2 linked regions of the Lonchura striata genome follow. The protein of the gene in region 2 interacts with the protein of the main gene of each other region in a pairwise test. Links are inferred from orthologs where the notes say so. Each region holds a gene or a part of one and is shown on either strand. Other genes may lie near its edges.

Region 1 (6,940 bases), on a different chromosome or scaffold from region 2:
TATTATAAGTGGAGGACAGCAGAAAATTCATTCTTTCTTCTGCCCATCAACCCCAAATAAACCAGGCAGAAGAGCAGTCAAATTACTGAAATTGATGTCACATCAATTGGAAAACTGACTGAGCCCGTACAATTGCTCTCCACCAAATTCATGGGTTCAAGCTGTCTGTTTCCCATCTGCTCCTCTGCAATTTAAGCAATTCTGAACTTCACTCTCTGTACCCAAATGTGTCACAGATTTATCAGCACGTCAGCAGCCAATTCTTTACATTCTCCACTAAGGTGAGCTATTAGGGGGAGGAAATTTTCTGTGTTTATAATTGCCAGGCCAGGAAAATTCGAGGACAATCACACATGACCTTACTAAATCCACCATGAAAAATTCATTAGATAACACAATCACCCCTCCCCATCTTTTTAAAAAAAGGCCATTTTGTTATCTTCTTACATGCGTTTAAAGACATGTTTAGTACACAGTACAGAATACTATAGCAAGCTTACAAAAAATCTAATTTGTGGGGTTTTTTTCTGCTCATATGATGAGCTCCATCGTGTATCTGAACTCCTGATAGATAAGGACTGGGATGCCTGACTAGCATTTATGGGATAGCCAGTCTTTAAATGCCTTTCAGCAATGAAGGGGACAGAACCTTATTAAAAACCACTAATAACTTTTGCATACTGCAGTTCAGTTTGCAGACAGGCTGTCAAGTATTCCAGTCCTTGTTCACAATTCTCTCAGTGCCTAAAAAAGCTAATTTAATTAATTCCAAACATCCTTAAAAATTTGTAATTTTGCTACCTCAACAGAATGTATGCTCCATTTAAAGATGTAGCTGCAGATGCTCTCACAGGGAAGACCACAGTACAATGTTCTCATCCTTGAATTACACCACTGGTGATGAGATGCTGTAAATGAAAACCAGACTACGGCTCTACGTGACAGACAACAACATAAACAAATCTGAGCTCCAACCTCCAGATTTTATCAAGTATTCTCTAATATTTAATGGCAATGTATTTGCCATATTAACATATGTCTTATGGTATGACTAATCCGTGCTTACATCATGTGTGATATCTCAAGTATTTCAGGTTACTCTCTTTCTTTTGGTCAATAACTTGTGCTCTGATATTAGAGAATTCATTTCACTCGTCTAGACTACCCTCACCTCTTCCACTGGTGGACCTCCACCATTGCCAAGAACTTTGAAATGCATAAGCAAATGTTTGCTGTATATTTTATATATATATTTATGCATATAAATTAATGTCAATACAGAAACTGCATTTTATGTTGTATCATAAACTATTTTACACCTAAAACTACATAAACTTTACTCTTTTCATAAATAATCTGCGTTACTCTTCATCATAAAGTCACTTCAGAGCCTAAAAGATTTTCATTTGGTGAAGCATTTTGGCTCTGTTGTTGCAATATACAAAAATGTAGTTCTGACAATGATCAAAACACCTGTTGATGACAAAAATACAAAACTCACAGATGTGTAATTGTGTATCGCCTACAACAGTTAACTACACATACAGCAGAGATGGTACTAAAGTGCAACCAGCATAGTCCCTACAAAAGACAAAACATTTTTGCATTATTAAAAACCACCAGTTCTTAGACCTTGTGGTAAAACAGTGAAGGAAATCAATATGCTTCTGTGCTCTGTGTAACAGCAGAATTTACACCAACTGAAAGACATGCAAATTTTCAGTTGTCCCTCATTTATCCTGAGTTATTCTGAACATTTTCCTATACATCCTGCGCATAAGCAGTTGAATAACCACTTGCACTTCTATGACCAAGACCCACCTCCATAGGAAACCTACCACAGTTTGGTTAAAACAGGAAAAAAACACCAAAACTCAGATCCTAGACGAACACGCAATCTGACCTCTGAAATTCCTAGCTAGGCTTCAAAAACACCTGGAGCCCTACAAAAACAATAAGCACAACTTACGATGGAAGCTACGTGGGCCACAGCCAGCAAGAACAATGCTTATTAATAGTTTGCAAACTTGTATTTCTTTTTAGTAGAGAAAAATTAGGAACTAAGAAAGAGGACAGGCTTCACAGTAAGGCTGAAGCCACCTGAATGTGTTAAAACCCATAAATCAATAAACAGAAAGATAAGATAGCATACTATCAATTTCACCTCTATATACGCTTCTACCAAAGAAATGTCAAAAATATACAGGCAAGTAAAAAGGATACTAAGGTGAAATTAATACAATACATTTTCGTCCATCAGCAAATAACAGTCCTTACAAAGTTAATAAAAAAAACCCCAGCTCTCTAATCCAGTTATTTTTAGATAGACCTTAGAAAATTGGGAAACGCAAAAGACAAGGACAATTCAGTTTCCAAATTTCAAAAGCATAGACCATGATAATGAAATGGCAGGTGCAGGTTTTAATCAATACATGTAATGCATTAATAAGAAGTATGATTTCACAGAAGACATCTTTTTGTAAGATTACAAGATAGTGGATAAAAGCAATTGCTGCCTCTGAAGGTTTGCTGGAGATTTCTGACTTCAGGTATCTGTCACTAAGGAAAAAAGTATTTAATAGTAAAAACAGTACTAACGACAATATAATGGACATACTCAAACTGCCACAAATAGGCTTAAAGGTCTCTATAAACATACCTACAACATGGACTCATCAAGGAAGATTTTTGCTAGCTCAGTGCTGCTGATAGTCATAAATACTCTAACAGGATAATTTTTAAAAATAGGTAATTGAGTTGTAATTCTTTACTATTTCATCAACATCTGGTCCATCTGAAATGACCAGAAAAAGACAAATAATGTGAGCACAATCGTGCAACATGGATTTAATCGAAAAGCAAGACTGCACATCACAGAAACATGACGTGATAGTTAAGAGAATGAGGAGCTGTACGCTCCCAAGTTATGTCATTCTCGTCCACAGCCCTGGCGCTTCTCCAAAACACTCTGTGTCTGGCTTCAGTGCCCATGTGCACACGAGGAGCAAGGGGTGCTGAGCCTCACACCCTTCTTCACGCTGGCAAGCAATGAATTTTGCTAGAAAGCCTGTTTTGAAGCGACTGTTATGTTGTCTCTATTTGCATCATATTTAAATCAAGTTCAGCTGTCAAAACGATGGGTGAGCAAGGTTAAATTCCAATTCTGTCTCTCTCACGGGGTTTCATATAGGAAAATTCAGCGGGGGGGCGGGTATTAATTCACAAGTACGGACAAAGAACCGGACTGTTGTATATGCTGAGTCCTGTAAAGGTTCGCTGTGGCCAGGCAAGCCTTTTGCTCAGCACAGGGATCCCTGCATTGCCCGCGAGCGCTGCTATGGATCCCCACCAGCGGCGTGCATCACACAGAGCGCCGTGCGCTGACCACACCGCGTTACACAGGGCTCAGCACACAAATCCTGCCCAGGGAAAACCCATCCCCGGGCGCCCCCAGGGAAAACCCATCCCCGGGCGCTCCCAGGGAAAACCCATCCCCGGGCGCTCCCAGGGAAAACCCATCCCCGGGCGCTCCCAGGGAAAACCCATCCCCGGGCGCTCCCAGGGAAAACCCATCCCCGGGCGCTCCCAGGCCTGCGGGGCCCGCCGGCCGCCCGGCCCGCTGCGGGCAGCGCTCCTTCCTTCCTTCATTCCTTCCTTCCCCGGCCGGGCCCGCACACAGACACTGGACACAGACTCGGAGCGGCCCCGGGAGCGGCCCCGGGAGCGGCCCCGGGAGCGGCCCCGGGAGCGGCCCCGGGAGCGGCCCCGGGAGCGGCCCCGGGAGCGGCCCCGGGAGCGGCCCCGGGAGCGGCCCCGGGAGCGGCCCCGGGAGCGGCCCCGGGAGCGGCGGGGCCGGGGCGGCTCCTCCCTCGCCTGCCCACCGCGCTCCGCACGTCCTTCCCCGCCAGCCCCTTCCTCCCGCTCCCCAGAGCTTTTCCTCTCCCCCTGTCTCCTCCCCCCCCACAGCAAGGTAACTCCCAGGAAACGTGCAAGCCCGTCGTTAATTTTTACCTTCTTTCGCTTTTTTCCTCCTGGCCAGCGTGCCGCCGAGCTTGCCCAGGAAGGAGTCATCCTTCTTTCTGGAGGGGGGCGATTTGGGGGTGGGGGACTTGGGGGACGAAGGGGATTTCTGCGGGGAGGTGGCCATGCTGGGCCAGCCGCCGGCGCTGGGGACGGAGCGGGCGGCTCCGAGGCCGCGGTGCCGTGGGAGGCTGCTCCCGGCTCTGAACGGAAGCGGAATTATTTCAAGCATTTGAGGCAGCTCCTGCTCCGCTCTCCCGGCTCTCCCGCTCCTTCCCTCCCTCCGCCCGCCCTCCCTCCCGCCGGGGAGGGCCCGCTCGCCTCGCCCGGCTGCCGGTGGCCGCGGGCGGTGCGGGAGCCGCGCTGCGCTCCCCGCCGCGGCTCGCTCGCTGTGCGGGGGCCCGGCGCCTCGCCCCCCGCTCCATCCTCCACCCCTGGGCTGGGTGGGTGAGTGGCCCGGCTGGGTGCCGGGTAGCGTGCCGAAAGGGAAAGGTGGATACGGACACCGTGCCGCTCATCCTCGGCTACCCCAAGGGGAAGGGCCGGAAGGATGGAGTCGCAGCTACGTTCTGTGCTCAGCACCCACAGAAAAATGGAATCGCGGTCCGGGTTGGAAGGGGTCTTAAAGAAAATCTAGTTTCCAACACAGTGCCATAGGCAGGGACACCTACAATTAGACTTGATTGTTCAAAGTTCCATTTAACCCGGCCTTGAATGCTTCCAGGGATGGAATAGCCAAAGCTTCTCTGGAGAGCTTGTTCCAGAGCCTCACCACCCTCCCTCCCAACAAAGAGATTTTTCTTAATATCTTGTCTAAACATCTTCACTTCTTCAGCTTAAGACTATTTCTTCGTTTTCTGTCACTACCTGCCTGGGGCAAGCACATTTATCTCCCTCTCAGGATTTTCATAGAGGTGCACAGAGAGAAATGAAAGAGAAAACAATTTCTGTTCCTTGTTTTTCCTATGTGGAATGTGTGTGGAGAATTGTTTACCTGGGGTGAGTGCTTGGTTGGATTCAGGTGAGGATTGTTTGAGCCTGATGGCCAATCCAACCCACCTGGGGCTGGGCTCTCAGAGAGGGTCATGAGTTGTGTTAAGAGTCAGAGAAAGTAGTATGTAGTTTTAGTATCCTCCTTTTATATAGTATATTGATGTATTTTAGCATAGTTATAATAAAGAAATAATTCAGCCTTCAGAACTGAGTCAGACATCGTCATTTCTTCCCATTGGGTTCTCCTGCATTTACAATACCTGCCCTTGCAAGAAATCCCTCTCCAGCTGTCCTGTAACCCCCCCTTTAGGTACAGGAAGGCTGCTAGGTCTCCTTGAAGCATTCTCCAGGCTGAACAACCCCAACTTTCTCAACCTGTGTTCATGGGAGAGGTGTTCCAGCCCTCTAAGCACCTTGGTAGCCTCCTCTAGACATGCTCCATCAAGCTCATCTCTCTTGTGTTGGAGGCGCCAGACCTGGACACACAAAAGAACTTATGAAGTAATAAAATGTCACTGAATAGTTTCCTGCAAATTCAAGCTTACTACATACATTTCAGTCTGGATAACATTTTGGAAAGCTCTTCTGCCTGCAGTCTTCAGCTGTGTCTGTGGTGAGAAGCTGTGGGCATCATCATATCCACTCCCACAAAACAAAACAACTGTTGTAGTCAGACCAGTATAAAAAGCCTGTGGAAGGAAAGGTGACTTAACATGATAGATTGCCTATACCAACCCTGCTTTGATTTGCAGATGAGCAGCTTATGGGAGGTTTAAAACAGATAATTTGCTGTGACTGGTTCAGGAGGCATCCAGGAGTGGAACAGCATTAATGTCATCTGGATGCACTACTTTCACTTACCACTTAATCACTTGATTAACAATTCAGGCAAAAAGCCACACACACTTCATGCAAATATCTAGCTATCCATTAGGCATAATAAGTGAAATGAAATTACCATGAGGATATTTCTAAATCAGCTAATAATTGTTGTGTTTTTATGAGCTGGTAACATTGGTTAGCTGATGAGGGGCAGACATCAATCTCTGTTTATTGCATGCAGTTAGTATGTGCCCTGGAAAAAAACTCTATTCATCCATCCTGCCATCAGTTATCAGCAGGAATGAGCCCAAGCCTTAGCACAATCCTTTCCTTACATTTTCTCTCTGGTTCTAGCACCAGTTATTGTCTCAGGCCTCTTGTCTATGAATTTCAGCCTGAATTTCACACATTATTCTCCTTATACAGAAGTCCTGCTTATACAGTGTATGTATCATTTTTAAGAACATAATAAAAGCTTCAAAAGGAGAAATACACACAGTAAGCACTTGTAAAAATATGTCTGTAAATCTGTGACATTTACAAACAGAGCAGTGACCCAGCTGAATCTCCATTTGGAGCCAAATGACTATACATGGATGTCAATACAGGATTTTGTGGCCACAGCAGAAGAGGGAACATTTTGGTAAGCACAAGTACCCCTGTGTTTGTGGTAAATAGAGAAGGAACAAGCCAGATACTTCATAAAGAGCCTGTGCAGTACAGGGTAGTCAGAATTCAATATGCACTTGCCAAGTCCCTCACAAAACTCTTAAGAAGGCACAGAATCTTTCCTATTTCTCAACACTGAGTATATGTAAATTAATGATAAATACAGTATTACTTCTTTAATAGCCTCATGAACTATGGGAGCTTGACATCACAAGGGGAAAAAAATGAAATGAAACAATGTGTTTAAGATTAACTTTATCACATCAGGAAACTTAAATACTGTGTGCTTTAAGTAAGATGCTAAAGCAACAGCCAGACCCTAAGTTTACAGTTTTGATTTTGGGATTTCTTGCAGGATTTATGTGCAGTTCATTGTGTGTAACATTACTGCAGTATTTTTCCAGTTGTGATATTTCACTTTGAGGATAATTACAAC
Region 2 (6,940 bases):
ACTTTGCTAACCGAGCTGCTGAGGACTTAACTGCAGCACACAGAGATCTGCTTTTCACGTTCTCCTACTCAAAGGAAAAGTCACCACACAAACAATTATCAGCAATATGAGTAAAAATAGACTTATTTTTGTGTAAAGTCAAATCCAAAACCCAGCTATTCTTTAAGTGAACAGTACAATAAGTTCTTGTACAGGTGACCAGTTCATGAGACATCATTTGAGTCCCAAAGAAACAAAGTCCAATTCTGTTACTCAAAGCTCAGTCTGCCTTTCCTCTTTATTTAACAGAAAAATTTTGTTATTATTGTTAGTTGTATGTAATCACAAATACCACGAATGTTCATACTACTAAGGTAAGGCATGATGTCCAAGTACAGGAAAGTGACTGATTTGACATTAAATGGGATAGTCCATCTCAAGCTCACCTAAAGACTGTCTTCAAATAGTCAGAACCCCTTAAAGAATACCCGATTCTTATTACATGCTAGTTTTTATCTGGAGAATGAATATCCACTGCCTACTGCTCTTGAACGCTCTGAACTACCACAGCTATATTAGACAAGAATACTGGCACACAACTTAAAATGGAAAGGTATCTTGTGATTAAATGCTGCATCCAAATCAGGTCAGCTTTTTCCTTTTTAAAAACATGATACAAACTGAACCTGGTATTTTCCTTGCTATGATAAACATCACAGAAGCATATTCATCCCCATTAGTTAACAACAGAACCTATAAACTCTTGCTGATTTCTTTATCCGTTTCTAAAGCACAATTTTAAATCCTACACTGCAGATAAGGGTACACTGTTCACAAGATTAAAGTCAAGGTCACATATTGCACATACGCTGCTGCCTGTGAAACAGCGATCTGTTTCACAGACTCCATATATATTTTTAGAAAGGGCTGCTCTAGTCATCAGCTAACAGCCTTTGAATTACAGAAGCAAAGATAAACTGTGGCTTAAAAGGGAAAATTTAAGGCTTCTGTGCCAAAACAGGCAGACCCCTACTGATTTAAGGAAGTAAAGTAGTTCTTTTTATCTCTTCAAAAAACCTGAAGGGGAAATCCCCAACACACTGAGTATGAACCCTACTTTCCTTCTGATGGAACTAAGAGTGCAACTCCCCAAGACTTGATACAGGTGGACCACCTTTGAGAAATCCTGGCTTCACAGTATGCCTGGTAGCTAAGCTGGCGCTCTCTTCAAACATCTTTTGCACCTTCTGCTCAACAGGCACCTGTGCAACTATTCATACTAAAGCTACAACAGAAGCACCAGCACCATATAAGCAATGGTCTGTAACACAGAAAAGATTTCTGCCTTCCCCAGGAACACCATTTGTGCAATATATCCTTAGTGGATGCCACAAAATATTAGTAATCAGGAAAAAGTGAATACATTGATACACAACAATTACTACCACATGAGGCTCATAAAAAAATGACACTTCCTAAATCAAACATTAGGCTTAATTCATGGGTATCTAGAAGGGGACTCCAAAAATTCTGTTCACACAAAAAGTGAGCAGCAAAATCTGGATTTTTAACCAGCTTTAATGACTGAAGGATGTTCAATGCATGACCCAAATAAACAGGGTACAGGCTGAGACAGTGAGGCTGCTCACCCTGGAGAAGGCTCCAGGGAGACCTTGTAGCCCCTTCCAGTACTTAAAGGAGGCTTACAGGAGAGGTGGAGAGAGCATGTACTCACAGAACAAGACGGAATGGATTCAAACTGGAAGAGAGTAGGTTTAGATTAGCTGTTTGGAAGAAATTCTTTACTATAAGGGGAGTGAGGGACTGAAACAGGCCACCTGGAGATGTTGTGGACTCCCCATCCCTGGAGGTGTTCAGGGCCAGCCTGGGTGGAGCTTTTAGTGACTGGTCTAGTGGAAGGTATCCCTTTCCATGGTGGGGGGGTTGGAACTAGATAATCTTTAAGGTCCCTTTCAACCCAAACCATTCTATGATTCTATGACTCCTGTTAATTCCCTAAAACAGCACAGGTTTTCTTTTGCCCAGTGGAAATAGTTAAGACTTGCTTTTACCAGAAGGGACGAAACTGCAGCAGCTTTGTGCAGTTGGGAAACACAGAGCAGAGCTCAACACCATGAACAGGTAGAAGTTCCTATAATAATCACTGTTTGTACAGTCAGGACTTAACCAGAGAGTTGATCCTAGACCACCAGAGATGTAAAATCTCTACCTCATCCTGCAACTTACATGTTCTGTCAGGCCATGGAAAATGCTTGAGCAGCTAAATGCTAATTTTTGTAAGTCACTTGGAGAAGGTTCCTTTATTTACTATTGCTGCCACCAACCTGTACTTTAGCCACTCTTTCTTTACCTTGTTTCTGCAAGACAATAAAACTGAGAGCTTTAAAAGACTTCTCATTACATCAACGTCAGCGTGTTGAGACCTTTGGCAAGTGAGGATGCATGACTAAATTAAAGGAGGTCAGTAAATAAATAAAAGCAGTGTGCTTCTCATCCACACTGCTCTGCTGTCAGCCAGCTCCTGAAGTCTGTCATGGACTAGTCCAATTAGTCAGCTTTGAGACCAAGAGATGTGTTAGGCAGGGGACACTAGGCCCAGGAAGCTGTCTCTGGCCACCTTTCATTCGGCATTGGTGGTATCACTTGAAGGCACCAGTTCCTGACCAGAAACATGTTGCTGTTTGTCAGACAAGAAGTCCCAGAGACACCACGTGCATGTACAGCAGCAATCAGTTACATTTCCTCACTGACACTGAGTTTCCTCACAGAAGAGAAAAGCTTGCAAGATGAATGGATGACAATTCATTAACTGGATATCATGTTAAAATTCCAAGTGGGAAATCAAAAGACGGAAGGATTTTACAACCTGGGTCACCTCACCATAGCTGATTATGTGATTTCACACAGCTAATGTTATTTAAGATTCTATTTTATATCCTGTATTTTTTCATCTCTTTCTAGAAATAGTCTAATATCTGTAGATACCTTTCCATCTACATCTTGTTTCAGCAGCCTGTGCAATTCTGAAGACTACATTAGCAAAAATATTTTCATATGGAGGAAACCTCCTAATGCTCTGTTTTTGCAGTAACCTTCCTTTGGGAACCAGACATCATTCACTGACAGATACACTTTATTTTAAAACTGGAAAGCCTCTGAGAAATTAGCCTAATTCTTGAGAGTTTTTAAAACTCATCTGTTTAAAGGCCTAAACAATGTTTCAGTCACCAAATATACACTTTTCAGAACTTAAGCCTAAATTTTGGATAAGCAACTTCTTTTGTTCCAATTTTCACCGGTGCAACTACTACGTCTAATAACAGATTGTAACACTGACTTACTAAATCTCCCAAGTTCTTCGAAGTGCTGCTTAAGCTTTTCTCATGTTCCTCTAGAGGCCAAGTATACCTCCATTCAAACTAAATACCCATGGGTGAGAAAGCCCACTCTTGTATTCAATCACAAAAACTCATGAAATTACAAAAATAAAACGAGCAGTAACATAAACCTCTCAAGAGAAACAGGGGCCTAAATAACAGTTATAGGGCATTCAAACTGATGCTAGTCACTCTACTCTCTACCTGGAGCTTTTTGTCATAACATTTTTGAAGTGCCAATACCATAAGCATTGGTCTTTAAACAGAACAAATTACTATCATATAATCATCACGATTATACTTGAAGTAGAATGCACAAGGGTGTTTAATGCTGGGGGGATGGTAAAACCTATAGAAGTAAATGCAGTTCACAAATACCTGTCTAACTATAAGCTTTCACTAGCAACGGGCTGATTTACTATTATAATAATAATAGTACCCTCTCAACCCCCCTCTTCATATCCACATCGAAATCTTATTACTGAATCCATGGCACCTTTGAGGCTTTTGTGCCGGAGGGAGGACAGGTTCCACAGGAAGGAGGAGGGGGAGAGCGGCCCCTCGCCCCCGAGCGTGCGGCAGAAGCCGCGGCAGCGCGCCGAGCGCAGCGCTCTCCGCCAGCGTCCCGCCCCAGAGCCCTCCCGCGGGGCCGAGCGGGGCCGGGACTGGCCCGGGCCGGCCCCGCCCCGGCCCGCCCCCGGCCGCCGCCGTACCTCGGAGCCGGGGGAACTCGCGGTCCCGCAGCGCGCCCAGCGCGTCCCCGTGCCCGTAGCCGTACTCGCAGCCGGCGGGGCGGGCGGCGCGGAAGGCGCGGAAGGAGAGCGGCTGCCCGGCCATGGCGCCCCGGGCTCGCAGGGCCCGGCGCGGACCGCGGAGCCGCCGCGGCCGCTGCCTCCGGCCCGCTCGGCTCGGCTCGGCTCGGCTCGGCTCGGCACGGCCGATCTGCCCCGCCCGCCGCCCGCCCCGCAGGCGCCGGGGCCGGTCCGGCCGCGGCTGAGCCGGGCGCTGCGCTGGCACAGGGAGGAGTTTCCCGTAAGGAAGACGTTTCCCGAAGCGCCGGGAGATCGGCTTGGGGGTGGTAGCAACAAGTGTACCCTCCTGTTGAGGCATGCTGTTGAAAATTCTTCATGGAAATCTCTCTCCCCTAAAATTTTCCAGTTCAAGCTCAGATTTCCCTTGATACCTCTTCCAATGCTGATAAAAACAGAGGTCACTTGCTCATACCTTGCACTTGGTGTACAGTACTCCTGCATCATGTCGAGCTGGTTCTCTTGGCCATAGAAGCTGTGCAAAGTACCACGGGCCAAAGCCAGAGTTGTGGAATGGGCTAGTCCCCAGGGATATTGTCCCATGTAAAAACCATTCCTGAAAAATCCTCTGCTTTGTCAGATGAACTATAACCATACACTTAATAAAAAAAAAAAAATCACAACCAAAGGAATGCGTTTGTTGAGGTTTTTTTTTTGTTTGTTTCTTTCATTGTTGTTGTTGGGTTTCAATTGGGGCTTTTCGTTGTTTTGTTATGCTGTTTTCACATTAATTTTTTCCTGACATACTACTCACTGAATTTTTCTACTTAATCTGCAGAGCATTAAATTACCTTCAAAGTTAGTTCAATACCAAAATAAAACTTCACATTAGGATGGACCTACATCTGAAAACTGGTAAGGCAGACTCTCATTAGATTGTTTGAAATGCTGCTAGTGGGATATCAGTGAAATGGGAAACTACACAGAACAAACTTCAGCCCAAACTGAACTCTAAAGATTTGCACTTTAGAAGTGGTACCAAAATAAAACCATGTAGAAAATTATAAAATAAGCCTAACATGAAATATAGCATGCTAATGTGCCCCCTGCTTTATATCTAAGAATTTTTGTCTAATTTAAACACGTAGCCCTGGCTTCAGGGCATATATTTCTATATGCTATATAACACTATAAACGTGTTTGACCCTGACTCTCTATTCATGCTTGGGGTAGGTATATAGTGTATGACATCTTCAGGTGACACTGTACACCTTTCAGCCAGCCGATGATTTTACTGAAACTAATTGCCAACTAAGTTACACCTTAACCATCTCATTCCAGATGAACAAAGCACCACTGAGAAAAAAAAGAACAGTAGCTATCAAGTGGAGCAATGTTCTTGGCTGATCTCTTGAAGTCACTTAAAAAAAAAAAAAAAAAGGCAAGCAAACAAAAACCTTGCACCAAATAGCTTTTTAAAAATTATTTTAACAGTTTATGCATTGCAATTTAGGAGAACTTATGCCACCATTATGATTTATTTTTTTATTGCAAGTATATGTAGAAAATATCTGCTATGGATTTTCCTTAATATTTCTAGCTTCCTGTTGTCAATTTACAGAGCAATTTATTTATATTGACTGCTATGCACAGTTCCCTCACTATTTGCGTATATTGTTTACGTCAAATAGTTGTTTCAATCCCTTATTGAAACAAGTTTTCCCCATCAAAACAGATGACAAAATGCAGCTTTCTGATCTTACAATAAATGTGTCTTGAGGACCTAACTTTCATTCACAATTTTATGTAAATATGGTCCCTCACAATTGATTTGTCTCTTTCCTTGTCCTGATTTTTGAAGAACAGCCCTTTGGAAGTAACACAAACATGGAGACAGTACTAACTGGGAATGTGCTCTGTTTGCACACTGTATGTAGCCTTGTGATGATGACTGATTCTTGAGTTTCCAATAAAGTGCTTAGTCAATCCATCATAAAGGCTGACCAGAGTATTTAAATAATAAGAGGCATTCAGATCACTCAGCATCAGTATAGAAGTTTTTGTGTTTGATGATTAGTATAACATCTAAAAAACTAATTAGGCTTTACTGTTAACTCTGTTTCTGAGGTAAAAGCTGGAGATTTCATAGAATTTCAACATGAAGCCACAACTTTCAGCTCTGAACTTGGTCACACCCAGCTTGCCTAACCACAACAGGACTATCCCAAGGCACATCTTACAGTGTTCTGCTTTGACAAAGCATTACTGACAAGGCTGGTATAAAATATGCAGACTAATGCTGTAGAAGGCCAAGAGCTAGGGCTTTGTCTCTGCCTTGGTCTACTGTATGAGCAGGAGACAGTATCCCTTCCTTGTAGGAGCCTTAGATATTAATTCTTGAAAACTGTGAGCCAGAGCTTATGGGCATGATTGGATATTGTATTAAAGGGTTGAGCAGTTGGAATCATGTAATGGGAAGCATGCAGAATAGTAAGAAACAACATAATGTAGTATATGTGAAAACTGCAAAGTAGGTCTTGGAAGGGGGGAGTATTGCTCTCTGGCAGAACTTTTGCCAGCAGAAAGCCAGATTGTCTTTGAGCTTCCACTGACACTGAAAGCACTAGTGGAAATGGATGCTACAGCCATTAAGTGATTGCACTGAGGTCAGCACAGGCACAGCCTCACCTTTGTTCTTCTGTGTTAGGAAAGGCATTATTAACTCATTGCAGCCCGATTACACTTGCTACATGTTTAGGACTGACATAACCCTTCTCGTTTATTCATTATATGCAAAATTTAGTTTACCCTGCT

What was found. The genes of interacting proteins can lie anywhere in the genome.
Region 1: the proteins of MOCOS (region 2) and PARVA interact in binary tests that used the Homo sapiens proteins (3 or more experiments, as listed by UniProt). The two-hybrid records come from large-scale screens. The link is inferred for Lonchura striata from reciprocal best matches to the Homo sapiens genes MOCOS and PARVA.

What each region holds. Positions count from the first base shown.
Region 1 is NC_134608.1:58,365,230-58,372,169, reverse strand, and holds the start of PARVA (alpha-parvin), read right to left. Parts: upstream 4,250-6,940; 5' UTR 4,148-4,249; coding exon 4,012-4,147; intron 1-4,011. UniProt on the Homo sapiens protein: Plays a role in sarcomere organization and in smooth muscle cell contraction. Required for normal development of the embryonic cardiovascular system, and for normal septation of the heart outflow tract.
Region 2 is NC_134603.1:65,142,220-65,149,159, reverse strand, and holds the start of MOCOS (molybdenum cofactor sulfurase), read right to left. Parts: upstream 4,242-6,940; 5' UTR 4,215-4,241; coding exon 4,091-4,214; intron 1-4,090. UniProt on the Homo sapiens protein: Sulfurates the molybdenum cofactor. Sulfation of molybdenum is essential for xanthine dehydrogenase (XDH) and aldehyde oxidase (ADO) enzymes in which molybdenum cofactor is liganded by 1 oxygen and 1 sulfur atom in active form.